3 linked regions of the Lepisosteus oculatus genome follow. The protein of the gene in region 1 purifies or fractionates together with the protein of each later gene. This does not show direct contact. Links are inferred from orthologs where the notes say so. Each region holds a gene or a part of one and is shown on either strand. Other genes may lie near its edges.

Region 1 (8,144 bases):
ATTCTAGTGGGAGGGATCTCTAAATGTCAGTTCAAGATTGCAAAACATTTAAGAAAAATAACTGAATAACTGACCACCACACACTGCCTGGAATATGGAAATACAGCCTGAGTAGCATTATTCTGGAAATTACAGGCAATGGTCAGATAGGCATATGATGTTTGTACCTTTTTTTTCCCACAGAAATGTCTTACTCCAGAAATTGATCAATAAATCTGGCACAACCCCTAATTAAGAGATTTCAATTAAGCAGCACCACTGTTCCAACATGCAACACATACCAATCTTTAGAGCGAGGGTGGTCTTGCGCTTCTCTTTATCAGATATGCATTGCAAATATGTCCGGTAGTTTGCCATATTTCAGTAATATTAAAGCACTAGCAAAGGACGGCAGTTTCCACCAATCCCTGTGTGCTGTTCTTTAAAATCCGTCTCTGGAGGTACACTTCACACTTATGAAGGTTATACATGTGTACGCAGCCGTATCATATATAATAGCAATGGATATTTTAATTAACCCGGATGCGGAGCTTATGTATTTATTTATATCAATTCGAACAGAATACTGCAATCACAGCAGTCATTTGAAGAGAGCATCCTGATTTACAAAGCATTAAAGTCTTCAGGACTAACATGATAAGAAGCATTGAAAAAATGATGAATAATATTCGTACAGCCCACATTCAAACATACGTAGAAAGTAAGCACGCATATCTTTAATAGAGTGGTGCTTGAGACATCTAATGAGTTAATTATGACATAATGGCGGAAGTACAGGAACATCCATAAGGGAAACAGTTAACTAGTACTGCTCGTGTATCGAATGAACTAAGGTCTCGGGGTATATTGGTTACATACAGGAAAATAATGTCAATGATTTTTAAAAAAAACAACGTCTGAAAAAGGCACACCGCTATTATCACAAATAAAAAATCACTTTGTTTCAAAACACTTGCTAACTATGCATACTAAAATATTCATGATATAATGACTAGATTTGTTTAGGGCATTACCGGAACTTAAGACCCGTGTAACTCTTATGGGTCAATACATTAATTGCTAACGTGCTTACTTCTTTCCTAAAATAATTGTTAAGAGATTAATACGGGTAAATGACTAAAACACGTTAAATAATTTAAAATAGATCTAACAGGTTACATCATGACAGCAACAGTAATGAATAACTCTACGCTTCGGTATGACACTATGCAGATCCCCGGTAGAGACTAACAAAATATACCTACCGATGCAGTTGGGAATATAAATTAAAAGAACGATTCAAGAGCACACGCACTAAGATAAACGGCAAACAAAATGCACATAAAATTAATCACCGTACTTAGTATTACTAGCTATGAAAGTAGAAGAGCTGTTAACAGTATCAGACGTAATAACGGCCCTTGTCTTTTCAAATGTGGGCAGGGTTGTGTCTGTTCTGAAATTTAGATACTGAGCATGATTGAGACATGTACCTTCAAAACCCGTATTCCAGTTACACGGGAGCCCGGTCCGACGAGGTCTCCGCGACCCGCAGCCTGGTTTGATCCCGGTTCACAAGGCTCCGGAGCTGGCGGAGCAACAGTACAAGAGCCGCTATCTTCGCCGCCACCTCGATCGTTTCGGTCCGGTTCCGTGCCCGGTACCGCCCCCGCTGGACTTTCGTCTTCCTCCATTTACATTGAAATACGTTACAGATGAAGGCGGAAAAAAAATGTCCAGTTCACAACTGGCAAATTCCAATGCACGGGGCAGCAGAGGAAAAAATCCCATTCAGCTCTGCTAAGACGCCATAACGAGACTGTAACATCACGGACTGTCAGACAGATCTAATCAATATACATTAGAAAGGCAGGGCCAGAGTTATTATTCATAGAAAACTGCCCATACAGAGGAGGAAAGCGCTGAATTATTCATCAGGGTACGTTCGCTATCATTAAGACAGACGCCTCACTCGAACCGAGATTATTTTAAATATTTGTACACTTTCTTAACTATTCACGATAAGAGACTTTTCTAGGTTATTCATTCCTCATCTTTGGTTTACCTGTAACGTCCAGGCCATTCCCAGATCCAGACCGCTGGAAGAATCTAAAGATCCTCCCCATCCACAAATATTCACCTGATAGGGAAAGTGGACACCTTGTTTCATGAACAGATAATATGGACTCTTCCGAACGAACGTTATATTCTCATTATTAACGTTAACAATCTCATTTTAAAGCTCTGAAAATCAAACATGTTAATGGAGATATAAACCTATATACTCAATTAAATCCTTTGCTCAAAGAAATCATTTAAGCCGAGGCTAATAATGTGCCAGTCATATTTTGCAGTGATACATTTTAACCTAGCATCAGCATGTATGACATGGACTGGGGCATTTACAACACGACGCATTTTTTATACTGCAGGAGAAGGCTGCCAAGTTTTTCTTATGGCAAGGAATCCTAACAGCAGGTTGCAAAAGCAAACAACTGGAGAATTGCAGCTTTGTGGGATTCTTCGTCAATAACGTCAGCTTTGCTCATTAGCTTCAGCGAAGCGGTTTACAGCTCTGGCGATATTGACACATTTGTAGCGAATCGCGGAATGACACCCTTCAAAGGTAAAGTTATCCTCTGCGTATGGAGTGTGGCTAGAAATCCTTCTCAATAAATGTCAATACCTGCCAATACAAGGCTGGGAACACAGAAAAGGACACCAGGCAAGAAGGAACTGGCAATAAACCACAATCTTGAAGTAAAGGGTGACCTGACAATGCAAAAATCAAGTCAGCCTTTCCTCCGTCCAAGTGAGGACAGTGTCAACAACCTGCAGATTATAAGCATTCTGGTATTCTGTGTGTACAAAACTGTCTATTTCCTCGTCTTCCAGGAAAATCGTATGACAATCTAGTCCCATGGATTACTAAATCAGATGTTAGTATTGTTTTTTTCCTAGAGAGAGTGTTAATACATAAAGATAAGTTTTTTTAGAGATTTAATCCTCAATGTTTAGTCAACTTGAATTAACTACTTGGAAAAAAAAGCTTTTAAACTGTAAAATAAAAGGCTCATCTGCTGTTGATTTATTACCCTCCAAAACAGCTTTGAGAATAAACCATCATCAGTAAAGCATTTTATTAAACTCTAAAATTTAAAGTTTAAGGTTGATTAGTTTCTTTAATTAGCTTCCACTCTCTATTAGCTTAATAATTACTATTCACTTGCATAGCAGATGTCCCTATCCAGGGCAATCTCACAGCTATCAATCCACAAAGCTGTATAAACAAGACAGCTCTCTCTCACATCACTTGAGAAGCCAGCACTATGGCACTCTGTAAATCATTTACCTAAGTTACCACCCTCACTCTGAAGTTTGTTTGCCAGTTTTGTCAGTCTCTTACCACTAATCAATCTTGACAAACGTCCATACATTGCATGTCCCCTGTGTGACAGGAATGAACTTTGTTCCGAATTTCAACAGGTTGTATTCTTCGTGATCTTGCTTTTTCGCTTCCAGAATTCCCGTTTCACCCTAAAAGGCGCAGACGGAAATGTGGAGTGTTGTCCGTGTTGACATGCAGTGCGGACAGAGAGTAAATCCGAAATGGCGTCTCCCTTTGTTTTGCTCCATGATGGAAATCTTTGTGCAACAACCAACAGCATATGCCTGTGCCTTTACCTTCAGTGATCTGCTTGCTCAGCAGTACTGAAACACAACCACAGCTCAGCTCAGTTCTGAACTGCATTCAAGGAAACGATGAAATCGTGCCGTTCCCATTCTGCCATTTATGTTAGAAAGATATTATAGGACATGAAAAAGAGAAGGAACCAAGACAGCATGGACAAAGCGCTTTCAAGGGACCTCCGACGTGCAAAACAAATGTAGACGCACAGAGTGCCAAGGCTTTCAAGAAAATCTAAACTGCAAGAGGTCAAACAAAAGGCTTTGTGGACCCACCGAGAATGTCAAAAAAAGCCAATTTATGATGTTGATGGGTATACAGTAATCATGTTTGTAACCTGATTGTGGCTCGAGAACAGCCTGCTGTCGCACTCCGAACAATGGAATTAGTGACTGTGGTGTCTCGCATGCAGCTTACTGAAGATTATGGATTTTTCTGTAAAGATTTTTAAAAGATTTCAGGTCACTAGCTCTTAAATAATTTGTCCCATTTATACAAAGAATTGTTCTGACAAACACTTTCATGTAACGAAACGCAATGAACATAAAAACCTCCCAATATTTTTCCACAACAGTCAACAAACTACTCCTACTAGTCCCAGATAAATAAATACAAAACACTGGCTTTCTATGGACGTTTTTTGAATTTTTATTAGTCACTGATCATAATTTTTCCAACCCAAAGACAATAATACACAGCAGAATTCTAAAATGTCCCATGAAATTGTTTACAGCCTTATTATAATTTCAGCCTTGCATTCCCTTCCAGGTTTCAGGACAATGGACTCAAACTCAACAATCCTTTCTTACCAATCAGATTTTATGTGGTACTTTACCAGAGATTCATAAAGGGGAACTTCATACGAAGACTCGCCAACTAAATGACTTTATTTCTATGAGAAGAAAAGGGAAGGAAACTGGATTCCTGACTCCCTCCTCCTTTCCCACACAAGCACAACATGTGTATCAACCAACATAATAGTGAAAAACAATCACATCAAATGGAATGGTGTGAATGCTCACTTTCATTTTATCCCCAAAGCTATGACTTTTTTTTTAAATGACAGATATTTAAACTTTTTTTAATTTTCCATGTTCAGCAAAGAGGTATGTTGAACATTTTCTTTGCATTTTAAAAAGATACATCAAGAGTAGAAATGAGAGTATTTACACTGTTTTGCACATGCAGCTCTGAAGCTGAAGATTGCAACCACTGCGACCGATGTGTCTTACCTTGTATGGAGTGAAGTAAGACAACCATGTATAGGCAAACATATATCAACAATTTATATTAGTGGATTTAAAAAGGTCCATTTGCTGTTCATACACTTCCCAGGGATTTGTTTCAATTCCGCAGTGCCCTAATCTGCCAGTTCTTTCAACACTTAAAAGCATACAATGTTCTTACAGGCGAATTTAAGAATTTAAACGATGGGGTAACACTGCACCCTTTAAACTAAAAATACACTGGTGAATATAAAATAAAAAACACTGGACACAATGAGAAACAGTCCAATTTTGTTCTTTGCTGCAACTCCCCAGTGTCTAACAGCACTCCCATGTGGTCAAGTGCTGCCAGTACAGAAAATGTGAATATTCTACTACAGCTTTTGTGTTATAAAATGGAAAGAAAAGTTACTGTTTTTCTAAAGGACGGCTGCACAGCAGAATGTGATTAAAAAAAGAAATGCTAGATAATAACAAAGACTACAAATGACAAACTGCCAGGACATAGAGCAAAGAGACCCCAATTGGCATCAGAAAGCACAAGAGTAGCAAGCCCCTTGCCACAGCTGCAGCCTGCTATTCAGGTCCATCAATCCTTAAGTTTTGATAAACACGTCTGTTTTTAACACTCTAGTTTTGAACTTGAAGCCTTTAGTTGTATGCACAGGTGTGTCAAAACTGACCATCCAAAGCCGATCTGACTTAATTTCCAACTACAGTAAATGTAAAAAAACTACTTTCCACCATACCTCTTGTATTATCTGTTGACTCAAGCAGGTAAGGGAAGTGGGCAGCCTTCAGACTTTTCTTTTCTGTAAATGTGACCATTTCTCTTTCACGTACAATCATAACAGAATCAGATGCAATGGCAAAAAAAGAACAAGGTGAGAGGGAATAGGAGACCATCCCAGCTACATACGTATCATAGCAGTGCAAGACAGAACATCTAGTTAGGCTTGATGTACATCATCTACATGAAGCAATGGAAGGCCACATTTAGGCTGTCTGTAAACCAGCCATTGGGTTTGATTGTATCAAGTGAAGAAGCAATAAGATATAGCTCAATCCAGAAGAAAGCTTATTGCATTTTGGCAAGGGGCCCACTCCCATTGAAGAGGATATAAACAGATTAAGAAGTTCATCAAAACAAATACATTGTTGTTTCTGGTGTTATTGTACAGTGTTACTCAGTAGTATATTTTTTGGACTTTTACCTCAAAAATCCCACAAAATCTCATCCACCAGCAAACAGAAACATCTTTATCAAATTACATATCTTTGAAAAGAAATGGCTAAGTAACTGTTTTAATTTTAGCCAGATAAAAATTTACAAACATCTAAAATGACTAATTTGTTGAAAGATTTCAGTCTGTCCTTAAAAAAGGAAAAATATGGTTTATCCATTACATAACCCCAAACTGAACAAAGTCTTCAAAAATTCAATGAAAAGGAGTAAATTAGTAACTATCCTTCTAAGGTTTATTAAATATCTGTATATAATTAATTTCTTCCTAGCTATTCATAACTGGGTCTTGAATTGGATATTTTAGCATTTTTACAATTATATACAATATACAGGCAGCAGATGCTATATTGTTTTGTAATGTACATGAAAACAGGGAAAGCCAAACAATTTGACTATTACGTAAATAACTAGATTTATTTTAGTCCATTTCAAACAATACACTACACGTGTATGTTGACAGAATAAAACTGATCTTTAGAAAACTGATCTGAAAAGGGGTGGTGGGCAATTGAGGTGATCAATATATACAGAAAAGCCTTGATTGCATTAAGTTGTTCAGTCTAAAAATAATCCCTAAAAGCACGTCATACATCTCTTGTTCCATATACACATGGCATTGCTACAGAAGATTTTATTTTCAAAAGCTAGATCTTATTTGATTTGGTCACGAAAAGTTAGCAGTTAATATAGAACAATAATGCAAAAGCAAAATATTTCTACACAATAAATCAATGCTGGTAGCTTCACAAACAGTGTAACAGAAAAACTCAGTAGCACAATCAATAGTATTCAATTTATGTAAATGAATGCCCCCCGACATCCCAAAAGTTGTTTCATGGTCCTGTTATGCTCGTCATAATCAAGGTATGCCTTACAATTCTTAAACAGAAGCCCCAAAAAAACATGTGAGGTATTTAGTTGATGATGTTTGTTTGCAAGAGCTAAGAAAACACATTGCAATTTGGAGCACTACATGTACCTTGGAACCTAATGTACCAAAAAGGGACAACATATCCACCATTTAAAATCAGGTTTCACTTTCAGTCATAAAAGTCAGCTTTTTTAAAAAAATCACTTTTAACCGGTAAATATTGAATTTATCTCCTACTGTGAGTTGATAAATCCTTCAACTTCCCAGCATTGTTCCTAAGCTAACTAAACTGATAGGAGTTACCTCAAAATCTGTACTCAACAGCAATTACTTAAGTTATCTTTTCAGTCCCTCAAAGGCAGAAATTTTAGACATGTACATATAACCAAGGTATTACATATCTAGATTTACGGAAAGCAGGGAAAGATTGGTCAAATCTTTGATATAAAAAGGCACATTGCTTTGATATCAGGCATTATTTGCAGGACATGTCTTGTCCTCAGTGACGTTTGACAAGACGAAACAAAAGTTCTCAAACAACTATGCTATTGGAAGGGTACATGAAAAAGTGCTGAAACAAAAGGCTTCCTTTTAGAAAATTTTAAAATCACAAGCCACAATGACAAAAAGTAAACACATAAAAACAGAAGAAACAGTACTACGTGCATAGCATTACATTCAAAATTATTTCCCATCTATATGTACAAACATTAAGTCAATGGCTATGCGAATACAGAAAAAATTAAGACTTTCTGGATGAAGACAAAAACAAACCTTAGTCGTTGCTGTTAAACTGCATACTGGTGTATTTGTGAACATACTTATTAACATGAGTCAGGAGAATCTTGATCTTCCATTCTGTTTTAGAATAGAATGGAAGATAAAGATTCATTATGAGGCCCAATGTACATTCTGCAAAGAAAAACAATTGAACATAAAAAAGCCTTTAAGATCACTGCAATGAACAGTAAAAGCACCTTTAAACCGCTCAAACCTTAGCAATAACTTTACTGCCTTGCTCCTCCCCTCTATCAACTAAAAATACATAACGTGGCAAATCACTGGGCAAAGCAGTCAAGCTTTTCATGTGTAATCTGAGAAAGTCTTATCCTTCAAAGAAAAAATTAACTTTGG
Region 2 (8,141 bases), on another chromosome or scaffold:
AAATGGCGCTTGATATGCAGGTTCTTCATCTGTCTAAATAAACACCCGAATCCCTGCAGTTATGAAACTGGCAAATCAGAAATTGTTACTGTTGTTCTGCACAGACAATTCTAAGGAAAGTCAGACTATGTCAGATCAAAGCAAGTTAATTTATTCTTCAGTACTCCTTTCTTTGGTGGAGCTCCCAGGACGTTTCCCAGATACTGTAGAATGAATCCTTCTCCTGGAGAATCCGTTCAAAGCTGGATGTAGGCCACATGCAGTCTTACTGAGCACTGATGCCTGGGATTGGAGCACTGTACTGTACGACGTCCACAGCCAGCAGCCTGAGCGCGTGACCCCACTGGCGTGCGCTCATCCGAGCGCTGTGCCAGGACAACACGTATGACCGTGAACAGGCCGCTCAGAAATCTGCACAGATGAGCTGTAACACGGACAACGTGTCGTTTCTGGACAACGCAAGACTGCTTCTGGGGGGAAAAGGAGAAAGCAACCTAAACGTGTGGTGATCTCAGTGTTGTCACGCGTGTCCCAGGAGGGCTCTGTAAAAACGCACCGGCCCTCGTCGAAGCCGCCACGCAGCGCCCCCAGAGGCTCTCACCGTTTTCCTTGCGCAGCCGGGAGATGAACTTCTTGGGGGGGATGACGCCCACTTTCTTCTTCTGGGTGGCGATGCTGTGGAAGAGGTCGGCCAGGCAGGTGAGCAGGTTCTCCTTCTTCTTCTGCTGGGCTCTGTAGGACAGCACGTTCTCGCGGAACGGTCGGCAGAAGAACAGCGCCTGCAGCACCGAGTTGCAGTAGCACGTGTTGCCGAACTACAGGCGAGAAGGAGGAAGACAGGGGGTTTCTCAATTACACGCCTGCCCTTCCCCGGGGGAGAACGAGTCTCCTGCTCCGCGGGAGAAGCTCGTCTAGTTTAAAAAAGACACGTGTGCCAGAGGCCTGGGGAAGCTCTGCGCAGAGCCTGCTGGGTGCAAGACTCCCAGAACCCTCTGCAGGAGAGCCGCTTATCCGGGGCCTCAACTGTTCCTGCAATTCCAGAGGCCTTTACTACAGGGGCCATTAGTGCCAGGCGAATGCCTGCTGATTGTAGTTTTTTACTTTTTTAATGCGCAGTTCAATTCAAAGGTTAAATGACTTTCCAACCCCTTCAGTACACTCTTCATCTAGGAGAACCATATTTGATGACTAAGACCCTTCGACACCAATGCCTGCTCCTCCAACAGGGTGCCAGTTTCCGACTGGAGAACGAAGCAATATGAATGGAGAAGATGCATAATTAAATAAGTATTGAAATGTTACTTACATTGACCAAGCCGAAGTAGTGTTCATTGATTGGAAACTGCTCCAGACCAATGTCTTTTTCCAGAGCAGAGGCATTGGTGCCCTGTAAGAAAACACAGATCGAGCTGACAGGCGGATCTCAGCTCCTTAACTTCAAACTTCAAGCCTCGCAGCGACCTGACAGCTGCATTCAAGAGCGCTGAGCTGCAGGTGCAGCTGAAAACAGATACCGCCACTCGGAGGAACACTGCAGCAAAAGTCAGATTCATTTAGTTTTCTCAGTACTACCCAAATATCCTTTGACAGTCTCTTCAGGCAATAACAAAGGAGATTTACAGGAGACCAAGACGTAGGGACCTCAGTTTAACAACTAATCTGAAGTACAGCACCTCCTGCTGAACAGTGTGCTGGTCACCTCATTGTTGCAATGGTTTTGGAATTTGTAACCAGAGGGAAGAGTGCCTCCTACTGGTCCATCAACACCATTTACAACAGCAAACTGGTTTCCCAGAGTGGCCCCCCTGCAGACCTGGCCCGGCCTTGCTGAGCTTCTGAGCTGTGCTGAGATCAGGACAGAAGGTTCTGGGGTTATAGTGCAATGTATCGATAATTTTCTCCTTCAAATTCAACATATAGAACCTGTCATTATTTCCATACTGGAACTAAACATCACACTGCAAGAACATGTTCAATAATGTCTAAGGTTGCTGAAAAAAGTAATTGGAACTGTCCCGGTTTTTCTTTAATGCTCTTTATGAAAAAAAGAACACAACGAGAAAAACTTTATCTCATAATTCGCCACAACTTACTAAACCTGCAAGCTAGCGTGCTTGTTATCATCATAAATATTTTACGTCTCAGGAGAGGCAGTTAAAATGAGTTTCCAATTAGCAGATGTTTTCCCAAGACTCGTCTTGGGGAATCAGTGACAGGCACTGTGAATCATGTATTTTACACACTTTCAGGACAGAGGGGAAAATGAGCGCGGTGCCTGGGCTCCACACCACACGCTATCAAAAGTTGACCTCGGTGTAAGTCTTTCAGAACTGTCGGGAACAACAGGGACCATTTAATCGCGGATTAGCCTAGTTTTTCTTTGCCCGGCCAGATCTACGGAGAAGTTTCAAAATATGTACGCGAAGGATGCGCATTATCCTCGGGGGGAGAAAACAGACTGTATATACACAGTCAACGGCAAAAGAAAAGGTAAATCTCAGCCCGCACGATTGCAAAAGTCGCAGGAAACCGCAGTAAAACCATCCACCCGCCCGCCACTGAGTGACGCCCCGGCCGGCAGCCGTGCCCTTGTGCCCTCGGTTAGAGCTGCGCATCCCTGCCAGGCGCCCGGTCTGAGCCCCGGCCAGCGCTGGACCTAAGGCAACTCGCACCGGGAGCACCGGCGGCGAGAGAGCCCCCCGTACCCCCCGATCGCTGCCCGCCTGTCACCATCGCACACCGAGGGCCATCCTGTGCATGAGCGCTTTACTTACCATATTACAAATGGAGGCGATATTTCTGACAGTCATTTAGTTTACAGGGTCCCCCCTCAGCGCCATCTTTATAAAATAAACATGATTTACGGAGGCTGGACGATGCCGAAAAGGTCTTCCGCCGGCAGCTCCAGGAGCCAGGGAGCTACGCCGCCTTGCCCCGGCGCAATATACACACCGCCCCCCGGCCACCGGGCTCGGACCTGCGCCGGCGGATGCGTGCACGCCGCCCGGGCAGGGGACGAGAGGGCAGCGGGGCGCCCTAGCGCCCGCCTCGGTGCATGTCTCCGCCAGGTGATGCCCCCTCGCTGCGCTCGGACGGCGGACGCGAACAGGACGGCCTGCGTCGGGTTGCCGGGACCGGCGAGTCGCAGGGAGAAGTAGCCACACGCCCCCTCCCGCTCGCCGAGGTGGGTAGGTACCGAACCGGCTCGGAGCGCGGCGGCGGCGGCGGGGCCGGCTGAGAGACAGACCGGCTGGGCTAATCGGATGGCCGTGCGGGGATCCCGGAGCCGGGCTGCGGCCAATCAGCCGGCCAGCGCCGCAGCCAGGAGCCTGGGGAGGGGGGCGAGGCGACAGAGGCTGGAGCAGTTTAAAGAGAAGGCAGCTGTCAGGACTGATCCCACTCCACACACCGCGTTAAACACGCTCTGCTGTTCCTGAGCAGAGCTGCACTGTTGCACCGCTTCACTGAATAGTGTCCTTATATTTTTCTCAGGACAAACTTAAGAGTATCGCTCGGCCTTGTCTCCGCACGCTGTTCAGTGCTCTTTCCTTGGCTATGAAATAGAGCGCACTGAAGCTGGGAGTAGTCTGTATAGTGTTTTTTTCTTCCTGTTGTGTTAATGGCACATGGCTCGGACTGCTTGCCCCGAATAACAGATATTGTAGGTATCCCCTCACAGCAGGCTCGCAAAGGTGTAGCACTCGAAGGAAACAGGACAAGTCATGTCTGTTACTGAGGTCTGTTATTCTGTGGAAGTCTACACCTCCTTCACCAAGTGATTGCACCTGTTAACAGTACGAACCTTTGACCAAAACAAATGACCTGTTCCAACAACATTTAGAGAAGCTGTACAGGCTGAGAAGCACAGCACGGTGTGATTCCTGTTGGACGTTAGGGAGGAGCATCTGTGAACCAGGGTGTCAGGGGGCGTACGTCCTTCTGGTAGAACGCTAGCGTGTGGCAACAGCAGGGGACACAGACCTTTCCTCTAGAAGTACCCATGGAGCTGCGGTCACAGCCAGGGTAGAGCATCAGCAAGAAGCACGTGTTGTCATCTATGGGTATGCGAACGTGTAACACTGTGTAACGCTTACGGCCGACAGGTACTGTGTAAGAGCCGGCTTACCAGAGCAGGTGACGTCACCGCCCTTCCCTGTGACAGCAGGACCACAGCCCCTGGGCTGGGGAGAGATCTCTCTTCGGCTCACCGAGCTGGGTCCCTGCTGAGCGACGCGGGAGTCCCGGGTTCGAGCCCCCCGACGGTGGGGGGCCGACCTAATGCGGCAAGGGTGCCCGCCTGAACCCCCGTTGCGTTACAACTGTAACAGAGCACTTCCAGTTCTGACCAATTGTTTCTTCAGCTCTGTGAAAGCTTGCCAAAAAAAAGACTTCTAAAATGTAACAACGTTTTTCTGGTAAACAGAGTGTTTACAGTGGAAGCACTATCTCCCATAATCAAGCCAGTTGGTGACATTTGGAGTTCTGTGGGATCTCTGTGGGATCTGTGTGGAGACAGCGTTCCGAGGAAGTCTCATTGTTTTTAATGATGCTTAAAATAGATGGTGCTGTACAACTGTCTGCCAGCTTCGTAAAGAGGCTACAATGTTTTATTAAACGATTAATGGGTCTTCGGTTGTGGTTTCTTAAGAAGAGTGGGCTATTGTTTCCCAAGAGGGCTTCCATGGAAATGCTTTTTTTAGTTTGCTTTTGAATTTGGTTTATAAGAAACTCAGTAAACTCAGCCTGCAAGACCTCATCTGGGAGGTGCTTGTTGGGAATACAAAGCTGCGTGCGATTTATTAGCTAGTACAGCTCATCCCACCAGGGACGGAGGATACCTCCTCTGGCTCCTTTCAAGTTGTGTTACATTTACACAGTCACATTCCCCGGTTCGCTGAAATGAAACAGAACTCAATTTCCCTTCAAAGAAGCTGGGAAGCTTTGAGCTTTGCTCATCCTAAATGGAACATCTACAAAACATTCAGGTCTAAACCATCAGATGACAATAAAAATGAAGTGTTTTTCGAAAGTTTTTGCTCCAGTGTGTATCTGTGAATGTACAGTATGTTCTGCACTGCAGAGTATGTCATGTCAGAGAGAAGACGAGTCAGACTGTTTGACCCTGCTTGCTCATCAGGCTGGAAGCTGCTCAATGAATTCAAGAACTCATCCCACCATATTTTGAAAGATCCCAGGGAATCTTCTTCAGCAGCTCTGCTGGGTAGTGTGTTCCAGACCCCCCATGAACATTTGTGTTAAAAACGCCCCCTGTTTTCACTCCTGAATGGCCTCCCTCTTAGTTACTGTCCCACCTGAAATACTTTTGACTGTGCCTCCTATATTGTGGCGTTGATTAGGTAACCATCGTCTGTAGAGTCTCAAATAGACGCTCAAACCCACCCCCCCGGTTCAAACCAATTGCCCACCCGCTCAAACTGTTCTGGCGATGGCCTGCTGTGTCGAGCCAGTGCCGTGCAGAGCTGCGCCTTTAACGAAGGAGGCCGGGCTCCGGGGCTCGCTAGTTTCCCAGCATGCACCGGCGCTCCTCCTCTTCCTCCTGGGCCGCGCGGTGGACGGACGCGCGGGCTGTGCGGGCGTTGTGCAGATTTGGAGAAATCGTGAAATGAAATGGCGCAGAGGGACGCAGCAGCTAGCGTTTCTGTGGGGGGAACGCGAGTGCAATGTCCCGCGTTATTATTCATCAGCTGGATGGTTAGTTATTGGGGGATCCTTTGTTTTCTGGGGGGGCGGTTTGTGCTGCACAGGCCTCCGGCTGTCTACCCCTGGTAGTTGACAAACCGTGTAGTTCAGAGAGGTAGAAGGAAGCAGTAGTGTAGCCTTTATACGTGATTAAAATTTGCTTAGCGGAATTGCGACGCAGTAATAATGCACTTTGCAGTGCTTGGGGAGGTCGCGGCGCGGTTGTGTGCTGAGGCTGTACGGGGAGTTGGGTTTTTCAGCGACCACGTGGCATGCGGATTTTGCTGTTTCGTTTTGTTATCGCCTTTTCCTGACGGGTTTGCCCACGTTTCCGTCTTGCGTAGCTTTGTCGAACGAACCGTCTGCTAGTATTTCTCTGGTAATGGAACAAGTAAAATTTTATTCTATGCTGAATAGAGAAGAAAAAAAAAACTTAGTGTTTTCCTTCTCTTTTCAGCAGGAATAAACTTTTACTCGTTCCTTTGCAGCTCACGCATGCTGACGCAGCTCCCTACTTGAACTGCTTTCGGTGATAACTGCGTTTGCATTGTGAGCTGTGGCTGGTTTCCCCTCCCAGCCAGGAAAGGGGCGGATAAATATAAATGCGGCCCTTTCTTCCTCCGTTTGGAGCCCGCAGCACTGTGCTCTTCACACCAGCAGGTCTGGGATACCCGGTCCGGGCTCCACGCGGAAGCGCCTTGATGTCGGTGCGTCTTTCTCCTTTAAAGAAGGAGGAAAAAAATCTCGTTTTTGTGTTTCCACAGCTGGGGGCGGGCCTGCGGCGTTCCGTGTCCGACACGGGAGGACAGATGAGTGCCCTCTCTGCCCCGAGTCCTGATCGCCTAGGTAGGTCCTGATCGCCTTGGTCTGTTGCGTGACGAGCGACCCCTCTCGGGTGTCGTCTGAATCGGGGGTCCTGCAGGGTCCTGTTTTCTTTGGATTCGTGTTCCAGCTGCGATCTGCTCCAGGGTGGGTCTAAGTTATTTTAATTGGTGACCTCACTGTAGTGCTTCTAACCAGGCTGGCGTGGGGCGGTTACAGGTAGCGGTAGCCCTCGATCACGTGGAAGATCTGTGTGATCGCCTGTAAGATGAGGGAAATGGTCAGCCACTCGCTGCCCACTTTGGACCAGAAGCCAGGAGCCCCGGCCCTGCGGGAGCTGAGTGTCAGAGCTCCGATGTCGATACTGTCCCAGTCGAAGTGATGACCTGGAGGCGTTGCACTGGTGGACCGCAGAGCGGGCATGCAGGGGTGACACTGGAGACGGTTAGATTCACACGCGCGGTCTCACGGGTACCGTCAGGACACACCAGGCGTTTTCTTATTCTAGTGCTGGCGTGCACATAGCGGTGGTGCTTGCTTTGTATGCTGTAGTAGTTCTCTGTGGGAGGCTTATTTTTTTAAACTGGATCGATGCACCATGTTCGTCTTTTGTTTCTGAATGCCGCAATGGAACGGTCCCCCGCTGGTTCGCGGTTGTGACTGTGGACGCGTCTCGACAAGCCTCACCAGGGCCCTGTGTTGAAAGGTGCTGTGTATGAGAGTGAGACTGACTGATTGACAGGTTGTCTTTTCAATTGCAGCCCCCTGACGGGCGATGCTGTCCTCCAGCCATCGCGGTGTAGTCGTGGCTCCGGGTTCGACAGGAAGGTATGCAGTCTTAATGGTTTTGTATCCCCTTAAAGCTTTGCCCATTTAAGGCTGTCAGTGTCTTGGGTGGCCAACACAGGGGGGAACAGCACTCCTCTCTTAAACCCGAAGCAGAGGTGCCGTCTCTGGTTCGGATCCTGTCGTGAGGAACACATTTACTCTGGAACTGAGGATGTCATGCGTCTAGTGTGTCCAGAGCTCAGATCTGTTCTGTATTCAAGTTGGGAGTAGATGGGGATGTTTCAGGCAATTTGATGGTTTATTCACAATTTATTTGTGAATAAAAGAAGTTAAAATTGTACTGTGCCGTTACATGTTTTATTTGTAACTGTATAAAGTATTAAACTTCTGTCTGTCGCTTGATGGCTGTTGAAATTTAAGCAACATCAAATCTTGTCTCTCCATCTTGGAGCACGTCTCATAGAGAAATTGGGAGGCTCTTGTGTTTTAGCACAAAATCAAGTCCAGTTTACTAGGACCAAGGGCAGTACAGCACTGAGTGCAAACTTAATCTGTACACCCTTGTATAGGAGCTTGTAGAACTGGGAATCTCTGTGCACTGCAGTTGAAGTGCCTGCAGTAGAGACAGTTGTGGAGTAAGATGTACCTTTGCAGTGTGGCCAACAGGACAACAATGTTAACACCTGTCTTTATGATCTTTTGAAGGTGTGGAATGGAGTCTGTGTGCGCACTGGGCATGAAATTCATTCTCTGCACTGCTCTGAAGGTGAGTGAAGTAGTCCTGATGAACAGATGTCCCCTTAAAGCTTTGCCCATTTAAGGCTGTCAGT
Region 3 (8,010 bases), on another chromosome or scaffold:
ATCCACCTCATCAACGCATATATATTTGTCCAATCAGGATTAACAGCAGAAGCTATATCATTAATACAGTTCATGCTAATACCGTCTCTACAAATCACTATCCTTACAACTCAGTCAAGCTCATCTGTTTGATTCAATGGTGCAGAAGATCATGAATCCGAAAATATGACTGAATAACTGAATGACTGAATAATACTTGCACAGGTGTGATAAGCAAGTCTAATATTCATGAGGACAGGTGCATACAATTTGAAAACATCATCTCAAATGCATATGACTTCATGTTCACAATTTCTATTTTTTCCAATACCTTATTCCAATACATGGATGCTGTGCATGCATCTGTGAGCCAATTTAATAATAAATTCATATGCTCTCTTTTCCAAACTCTTAAAACAGAGCTCCAGGGTCCATTCACGCTATTACTTTGCTCTAAAAGGTTTTAGTTACATTTCCATTACTTCTTCCCTGTCAAACTGTCTGTGACATTGTAGCTCTTAATCAGTTTGGGGAGAGAGGCCCTGTGCAGTGAAGCCCATTTCTCCATAATGGTCTGAGGCAGAGACATCCAATGAAGTGTAGTGTACATTTATTAATGGGCGCTGATTTTTCTTTCAAGAAAAAATACCCCTACAAATTGAAATACTGAGCAAAAATGAATATAAAACACCCAAAACAACTGTTAGTACACCTTGTCAAATGATTCTCCAGTTTCTGTTATGATACACACTTGCTACCAAACAACGGCCCATCTCTTCTTTTTTCCTGATGAAAACATTTTGCACTTAATGACCAGATAACTTTATCTCGACAGATAAGGACGTTCAGGTTCCAACATCCTGGGATACATTACGTATCGCAGAAACCAGACTCACCGCCTTCTCTTTCAGATTTCTTCCAGTTATTACTGGGGTTTTGTAAAGAAGGTGTAGAGTTCACAAATGGTAAAACCTCAACATGTCCTGGCCATGGAAAAAAATGAGTTAATGGCTTAGTGGTCAGCACACGCAATGTAGGGCTTCAAGAGATAAAATGTATTGATATGGTGAGAAGTGCTATAAACAGTCTCTTATCAGGCGTTTGCAATCGCAACAATTTACAGAGGCCTCCAGCTTTATTCTTTCACCTAATCAAATAAGAGATAGAACACAGAACAAAAAGATTTATGGAATGAATAATGTGTCTTGCTTAAAAAAATCCTAAAAATGTTACATTGCAGTGTTGATAGCATTGCACAAAGCAAAGTCAAATTTATCAGACGACCAGAAAACACACCAGTCAAATTAATTCAGAAACCGAAAAATCTTTCATATATCCTCCCTCTGCATGGATTGTAAAGATAGGTCTCCTAGTATTGTGCCATGAGGGTTCTGGCATTTCCTCCAGGTATGGAATTTTGGCCATTCCCCCAGGCAGCATTGCTCTTGGTCCTTTACATCCTTTGGTATGTAAAGGACCTTCAGGCTCACACCTGAAGAAGGCTCCACGGCCGAAACGTTGTGTTCTCTTTCTTCTTTTTTTCAGCATGGAATAAACCTATTACTTGATCCTTTGGTATATATTTGTGAACTGCTTTCTTGAATTTAAACTACAATCATTCCAGTGCATTGAGGTCAGGAGATTGATCCGACCAGTCAAGAACACAGAAAGCAGAGTTTTCTAAAAACACACATGTATAGATTGGTGCATTTCTTTTAATGCTCTCATTTTAATATACAAAAGATACATTTGGACTATTGCAGCTTTACTTGTAGAGTATAACACATACAAATGTACAGTACATCTGAATACTTTAAAGCAAGAGAATTGCTACATTTTACCACAGTAAGCACTTTAATCAGTCTTACGATTGTCATTTAAATCAAGTCCATGTCCAAAATCAAGAAAAAAAAATCTGTTAATGTCTTGGTTTCATTAAAACTAAAGGACAATTTAATAATGAAATGTGTACCAGACACTAAATCATTAAAAGACCAACTTTTCTGTATTTACTACGGTTTCACATTGTGTTTCTTAACATGAGTACCAAAATATTTTAGTCACTGTTAAGTATCTGTACATAAACTCCTGCATCAATCAAGTCAAACTCAAGCAAATAAATGACAGTATCACAAAAGACACTAGTAGTGAGTAATATTTCTGAAGAGATAAAGTCAGGGGAGTATGCTGCCTCTAGAAACATGCCTTTCCATTATGGAATCTGAAATAACGAAGTACATTTGGATCATACAGCAGGACCTACTGATCTAAAAACAGTAATTCCCAATCCTAGTCCCAGAGAAACCTTGTTTTGAACACTGAAATTAGTTGACTTTCTAAAAACTCAAAACTCAGCTCTATGCAAGCAATCATCTTTCAGAATTCATGTCATCTAGATGTACTGTTTCAAGGTGGAATTTAACCAATGGGTTTATACAGTGCTAAGAATATTTAATCTTAGACGAGTGCCTGTCTTTCCCATTTGTGTCTTTACATTGACCGATAATAATCTTCACTCAAACATCAAACAAATACATCAATTAGGGTTTCAGTACTAATGAAGTAACGACTAATGAAGCATTCAATTAGAACAAAAATGAGCAAGACAGGGAAATATTAACCTAAAACCATCATCTTCAATTAATGCCACCCTTCTGTGAATACCTGTATAATATAATATACACTGTTTTCATATTCATAACTGCACATACACGTATAAATACGTATCACAGATCACCTACAGAGACAGGTATTTTAACGAAACATACCACGATATGTAACAAATTTACCATTTGGGAATAATTCAATTGGTGTCACCTGGATCGAAATTACTGTCCTAATCTAAATAGGTTAAGGTCATCAAAAAATATAAAGAAAAAAAACTTTCGGTATCATATAAACCATATTTCGCTATTCAACAAATCTTAACAGATCTGTGTTCCGCGATTAATACTGTACATCTAAACACGGATTCAACGACTAGTACTGTGAGAACCATTGAATTAACAGCTAGTTGCATAGAACCGCCAAGAACCCGGGCCTTTCAAAATCTACCTTTTCTCACAGATTTAAACGAGACCTGAATGATTTATCGATTATGCGGTGATCAGCGATCCTTCTGGCTCATACGCTCAATATAAAGCTGAACCCCATTAGTCGAGCATTGCAATGCAGTACAGTTTCTAAATGTTGCAGCTACAGTACACTCATCCTCTAAGTGAACACCACCTGCCCTATTCCAGCCACATCAATGCAACTGTTCATACGAACGTCTTTTTATCTCGTTTCGCATGTTCTACACATCCTTACCCAGGGTCACTGTACTAAATTAAACCTGTACCCTTCACTCCACATACTGAGATCCGATGAAAAAACAGATTTTACCTGCACTTTTCTCCGCCCAGCAGCATTCTGCCTGTGATGAGCCGCCATCTTACATGTTGACAGCTCTACGTCACTTCCACCAAGGAACGAAGGCGTAATCTTCCGGATGGGCCTTGTCAATCAAACGAAAAACTCTGACGCTAAATGGGAGTCTTGTTACCATATAATAGAGAAAAGATGAGAATTAAACAATGCCATTAAGAACCCCATTCTGGAAAAAATATTAATAATAGATGGTCTCGTGATTCATGTCTCTCTGCGTATTACATTGAAAATAAAATCTGTAATTAGACGTGTAATTATTTTGCTATGAACTTGGCAAATCGTTTTCCTAACGAAAAAAAAACATTAATCGTTGTTGTGACTTCAATATATATCGGTGTGTGATTTTCGTAAAACAGATTATACGGTTCCTGTATCATAAAATAATATAAGAACAGTAGTTTATAAAAAAGGACGCTCGTCTTCCACCGTAAAATAACTGCGTCACTAATCGCAGATCTACGGTCACCGTAAAGTTGATTGGGGCGATAGGAGTGCACCGAAAGGAGACGCTGTACCTGTTCTGTCAAAAGCATGGAGATCCGTACCTGAACTATGTTTTTATTTTGCATTTTTTATCTAAATTAAGGGAAGTCAATTATGATATTTCTAGACAGGTTATAAGTCATCGTGCAACTAATGTACGGGAATACAGCACATTCATTGAATGGAGAAAGTACATAGTGTATCGGTATTTCCTTGTTCCATTGATAAACCCCAAACCCTCCCAGCTGGAAGATAATGGAATTACTGTTTAGGCACATTCTGTACGATCGGTCCAAATTATGTTCAATCTATGAAATAACGAAGGTGGCTTGTATGTTTAGATTTTGTCATGTAAAAGCTGAGATCAATATTCATAAACGTAGCATACATTTGTAGTGAAACAAATTATTATCTAGGTGGGTGCTGCACAGTGGTGGTGGTGGAGGGGAGTCCCCATTACCTGTAATGTCGAGGATAGAAGGAGAAACAATATAAGTAAAATAATTTAATTTTCAGAAGTTATTTTTTATGGAAACATATAAGGTTAGCTATTCCATCTCTTTTTATAATGAGTTTTTTTTTTCCAGTGGGGAATCAAAACATGCACTACAAAAGCTGAACTGTGTAATACCCCCAGGAATGACGTATTAACCCTTCAAGACGACTATGCTTCTTTTCCCACTTGTTAGAGTGAAAAAAATATAAAATTATAAAACCAGATTATCATTATATAAAAACATTTGTAATTATTTATCAATAGGCTTCCAGTGGACAAAAGACAAACTGCTTGCTTGTTATTTATACACACTGTATTATTATTTGAATGTGCGATACTGAAATATATACATTTTTTGTTTGGTCATTGTTATGTGATAGAAAAATAGTCACCTAATTATACAATTATACCACACTGAGTTATACATTATTACAATTCATTGATTGTTTTAAAACTTGAGTTTCATCATGGATAAAGCCATCAGTAAAATAGTAACAACAACAACAACAATAATAATAATAATAATAATAATAATAATAATAATAATAATTTCTTACACTTACAAAGCGCTTTTCTGGACACTCCACTCAAAGTGCTTTACAGGTAATGGGGACTCCCCTCCACCACCACCAATGTGCAGCCCCACCTGGATGATGCGATGTATATGAAATTATTCTAATGCCCATGGTTTATACTCATTTTTAAGTCCAGGTAACTATTAGTTATGTATTCATCAGCATCTTTAAAAATCAAGAATAAAACTACAGAAAATTAAGGACAGGTGTGTGGAATATGATGCACTAATTTAAAGGTATGGTGCCTAGTACAAAGTACTTAACTAAGGTCATGGATCTGCTGATATTTTAAAAAAATATCTGGTTGCCATCTGTCTATGCCCAATGGTCTAGCCATTCTGATAGTGGTGTGTGAGCAGTCACAGCCTTCTTAACTCTGTATCTGTTTTTATTTTGTCTTCTTGATTGCTCAGGTATTAAAAATCTGATATATATAAGGTACATTAAATTGATTCTAGTGTGTTTTAATTGCATTAGTCTGCCATTTTTAAAACCATGTTTGTAGAATAAAAAAGCACATTGATTTCTTAATTTAACACTCAAAATAAATCCTTTAGTTCTTGTGGCTAGCCTATTCCCAACCACAACAATGTGATATGTGCAATATGAACTCAACATGCTGTCCTATTATTCTGATTAAAGACCAATCCCTTTCATTCACATTCATGTTGTTTTCTGTATTTTCCTTTGGAAATGTCAGAAAGAGCCATACATTTTAAAAACATAATTCAGAAAAGAGTATCATCACATTAAAAAAGAGCAACTCAAATCCAGATGTCCTCTCACAGTTTATCTAGAGCAGAGCAGAGACAGATGTGCCTTCTCTTCCGCTGCAATGATCATGTTAAACACTGAGATTAAAAATTACTCTTTTTTTTTGTCTGGGAATAATGCCGAGCTGCATATTTACTAAGTAAGCCTGTCTGACCTTGTTATTTAGACCTAAAATGTTAAGAGATCACTTTTGCCAGGCAAAACAACATCTTTATGCTAAGAATTGTAGATACGTATATAAAAAACACACTATTTCTCTGTAAAGCATTCCATATGATGTAGACCCTACTTCTTGATTCCACTTCCAATATGTTATGTTTCTGCCTCAGACTCCAAACTCCTTCTCCCCTTAAGGCAGGTCTAGGAAAAAAGTTAAACAAGGCAGATGTTTTAATTCATGTTTTATTTATCTTATATATTTTGATCCCAGTTTTGCCCTGTTACTCAGTTAACTGCTATGACCCATGTACCAACATGGAGGAAATGAGGACAATGCTAGCTTTCTTTCAGACCAAATAATACTGAGATATTCATCATTCTACACACTGGACTAAAAATAAAAGAATGCATATAAATAAGAGGCAACCATTTGAGCTATTTAGCCTATTTGGTAGTACAGTAGCTAAATAATTTGATGATCCCCTATGTCTTTTTTTTAGGGTATCGGTTTTTACAATATGATTAAGTATTGTAGCTCACCTGCCTCCCACAAGGCTTTGTATAAAGACATGCCTTCACCTTAGTTACTGTTTGGATCCTCTGATTTGTGTTACAGTACCTTGCTAAGAAACCCATAAGGCTGACTTTGTCAATACCTTGAAGTTTTCAGTGCTTGAACCAGATCTCTGCATAGTTTGCTCCATTTGAAACTAAAAGGTTTAGTTTTTTTAGGCTACAGGAGTAGTACATTCTTTTGAGACTAGCTCAGCAGGATCTTTGTTTCCAGAACAGCAAGACCTTTTTAGTAAAGACTAAAAGTGTACAAAAAAAACAAACTTTCCATCCATTGAATAATATTTCTTTTGAAGCTTTTCCATTACTGACAGAAAAAAAAATGTTATGATATAATTAGCTGAACTTCTTAGCACAATCTTGCAATTACTGTAATATGGTGCACTAATAAATACACACTACATGCTTATTTTTAGAATAAATTATGAATAGTATTTTATTACTACATTTCAGAAAGAACTATATTACTTTTTATAGATATGCCATCACTTTTTTAAATCAAATACCGTACACTGTTTTTGACATATTATAACATAAATCCATATTAAAGTTTTATGGATTTATGTTATACTCTCTGCAAAAATATATAATGTACCAAAAATCTGGCTTTTTTAAATGATCTTCTACTCCATTCTAATCAGTAATAAAGTTGTCTAAATACCTCAGAAATTAAGTTCAAATTCAAAATACAGTTGTTGTTTTTTTTTTCAAATCAAGACTTCGGCTTTGGTTTTTAATTCCTCATCTGGCTTTTAAATTCCCACCCTGTATCACCACCTGTGACTGGGATTCCCCAAGTGACTATGCACAAATGGTTGAGTGCCACCAGGGGCAGAGTGAGATAAGTTGACTTTCTCGGCTGTTGTTGACACGGCAACCCCTTTGGTTTCACAGGTACGGGCAGACTCTCTTCCAGTGAGCACTGAACCTTCAGTACAGGTCTGTGTTGTCTGTGACACGTTATAAAATGAATGGCTCAAAGATGGCAGGTGAGAGGAGTCGAGCTGCACTTCCTCATTCTCTCCTGTGGCTATGGGAATTGTAGCCATAAGCAGAGACATGAAAAGCACAACAGGCAAAATTATTTGACATTTTATTGTTCCCAAAATGTTTTATTTTTCCAAAGTATGAACATTTCCAATATCATTTCCATTACCAAACATTTCCACTGTCAAACTTGTGTGCTTTTTAGAAGACTGTCACAGTCATGAAAACCACTTATGTATGTAGGATCCCCTTGGAGCTGTGCTGTAACCAGGGACAGTGCTCCTAGAAGCTTCTAGAAGCCAGTTAATCTAAAAGTACAGTATGTCTTTGAGCTGTGGGAAGAAAATGGAGCACTCAGAGGAAATCAAAGCAAACATGGAAAGAAAATACAGACTCCACACAGACTAATTGAACCAAGGGTCCCAACTCAGCAAAGCAGAAACGTTTAATTTAAATAAAACGCCATTATGTTCACAAAAAATGCTTACATTGTAATGATATCCTCATATTGTCTATCGGAATTGACTATCTTTGTGTCCCAGTGACACATTTTCA

Evidence for each region. Proteins that work in one complex are often made in the same cells at the same time.
Region 2: the proteins of phlpp2 (region 1) and usp46 purify together in Homo sapiens (affinity purification with mass spectrometry; 4 studies listed by BioGRID and IntAct, counting the BioPlex papers as one, with this or other methods). This does not show direct contact. The link is inferred for Lepisosteus oculatus from reciprocal best matches to the Homo sapiens genes PHLPP2 and USP46.
Region 3: the proteins of phlpp2 (region 1) and wdr48a purify together in Homo sapiens (affinity purification with mass spectrometry; 5 studies listed by BioGRID and IntAct, with this or other methods). This does not show direct contact. The link is inferred for Lepisosteus oculatus from reciprocal best matches to the Homo sapiens genes PHLPP2 and WDR48.

Annotation. Positions count from the first base shown.
Region 1 is NC_090715.1:9,959,520-9,967,663, reverse strand, and holds the start of phlpp2 (PH domain leucine-rich repeat-containing protein phosphatase 2), read right to left. Parts: upstream 3,271-8,144; 5' UTR 1,674-3,270; coding exon 1,473-1,673; intron 1-1,472. UniProt on the Homo sapiens protein: Protein phosphatase involved in regulation of Akt and PKC signaling.
Region 2 is NC_090696.1:78,122,813-78,130,953, forward strand, and holds the start of usp46 (ubiquitin carboxyl-terminal hydrolase 46), read right to left. Parts: upstream 3,466-8,141; 5' UTR 2,811-3,465; coding exon 2,775-2,810; intron 1,388-2,774; coding exon 1,307-1,387; intron 816-1,306; coding exon 602-815; intron 1-601. Other genes in the region: uncharacterized protein, read left to right, coding at 5,447-5,712, 7,284-7,350, 8,017-8,080. UniProt on the Homo sapiens protein: Deubiquitinating enzyme that plays a role in behavior, possibly by regulating GABA action. May act by mediating the deubiquitination of GAD1/GAD67.
Region 3 is NC_090701.1:35,349,856-35,357,865, forward strand, and holds the start of wdr48a (WD repeat-containing protein 48a), read right to left. Parts: upstream 3,466-8,010; 5' UTR 3,412-3,465; coding exon 3,364-3,411; intron 1-3,363. UniProt on the Homo sapiens protein: Regulator of deubiquitinating complexes, which acts as a strong activator of USP1, USP12 and USP46. Enhances the USP1-mediated deubiquitination of FANCD2; USP1 being almost inactive by itself.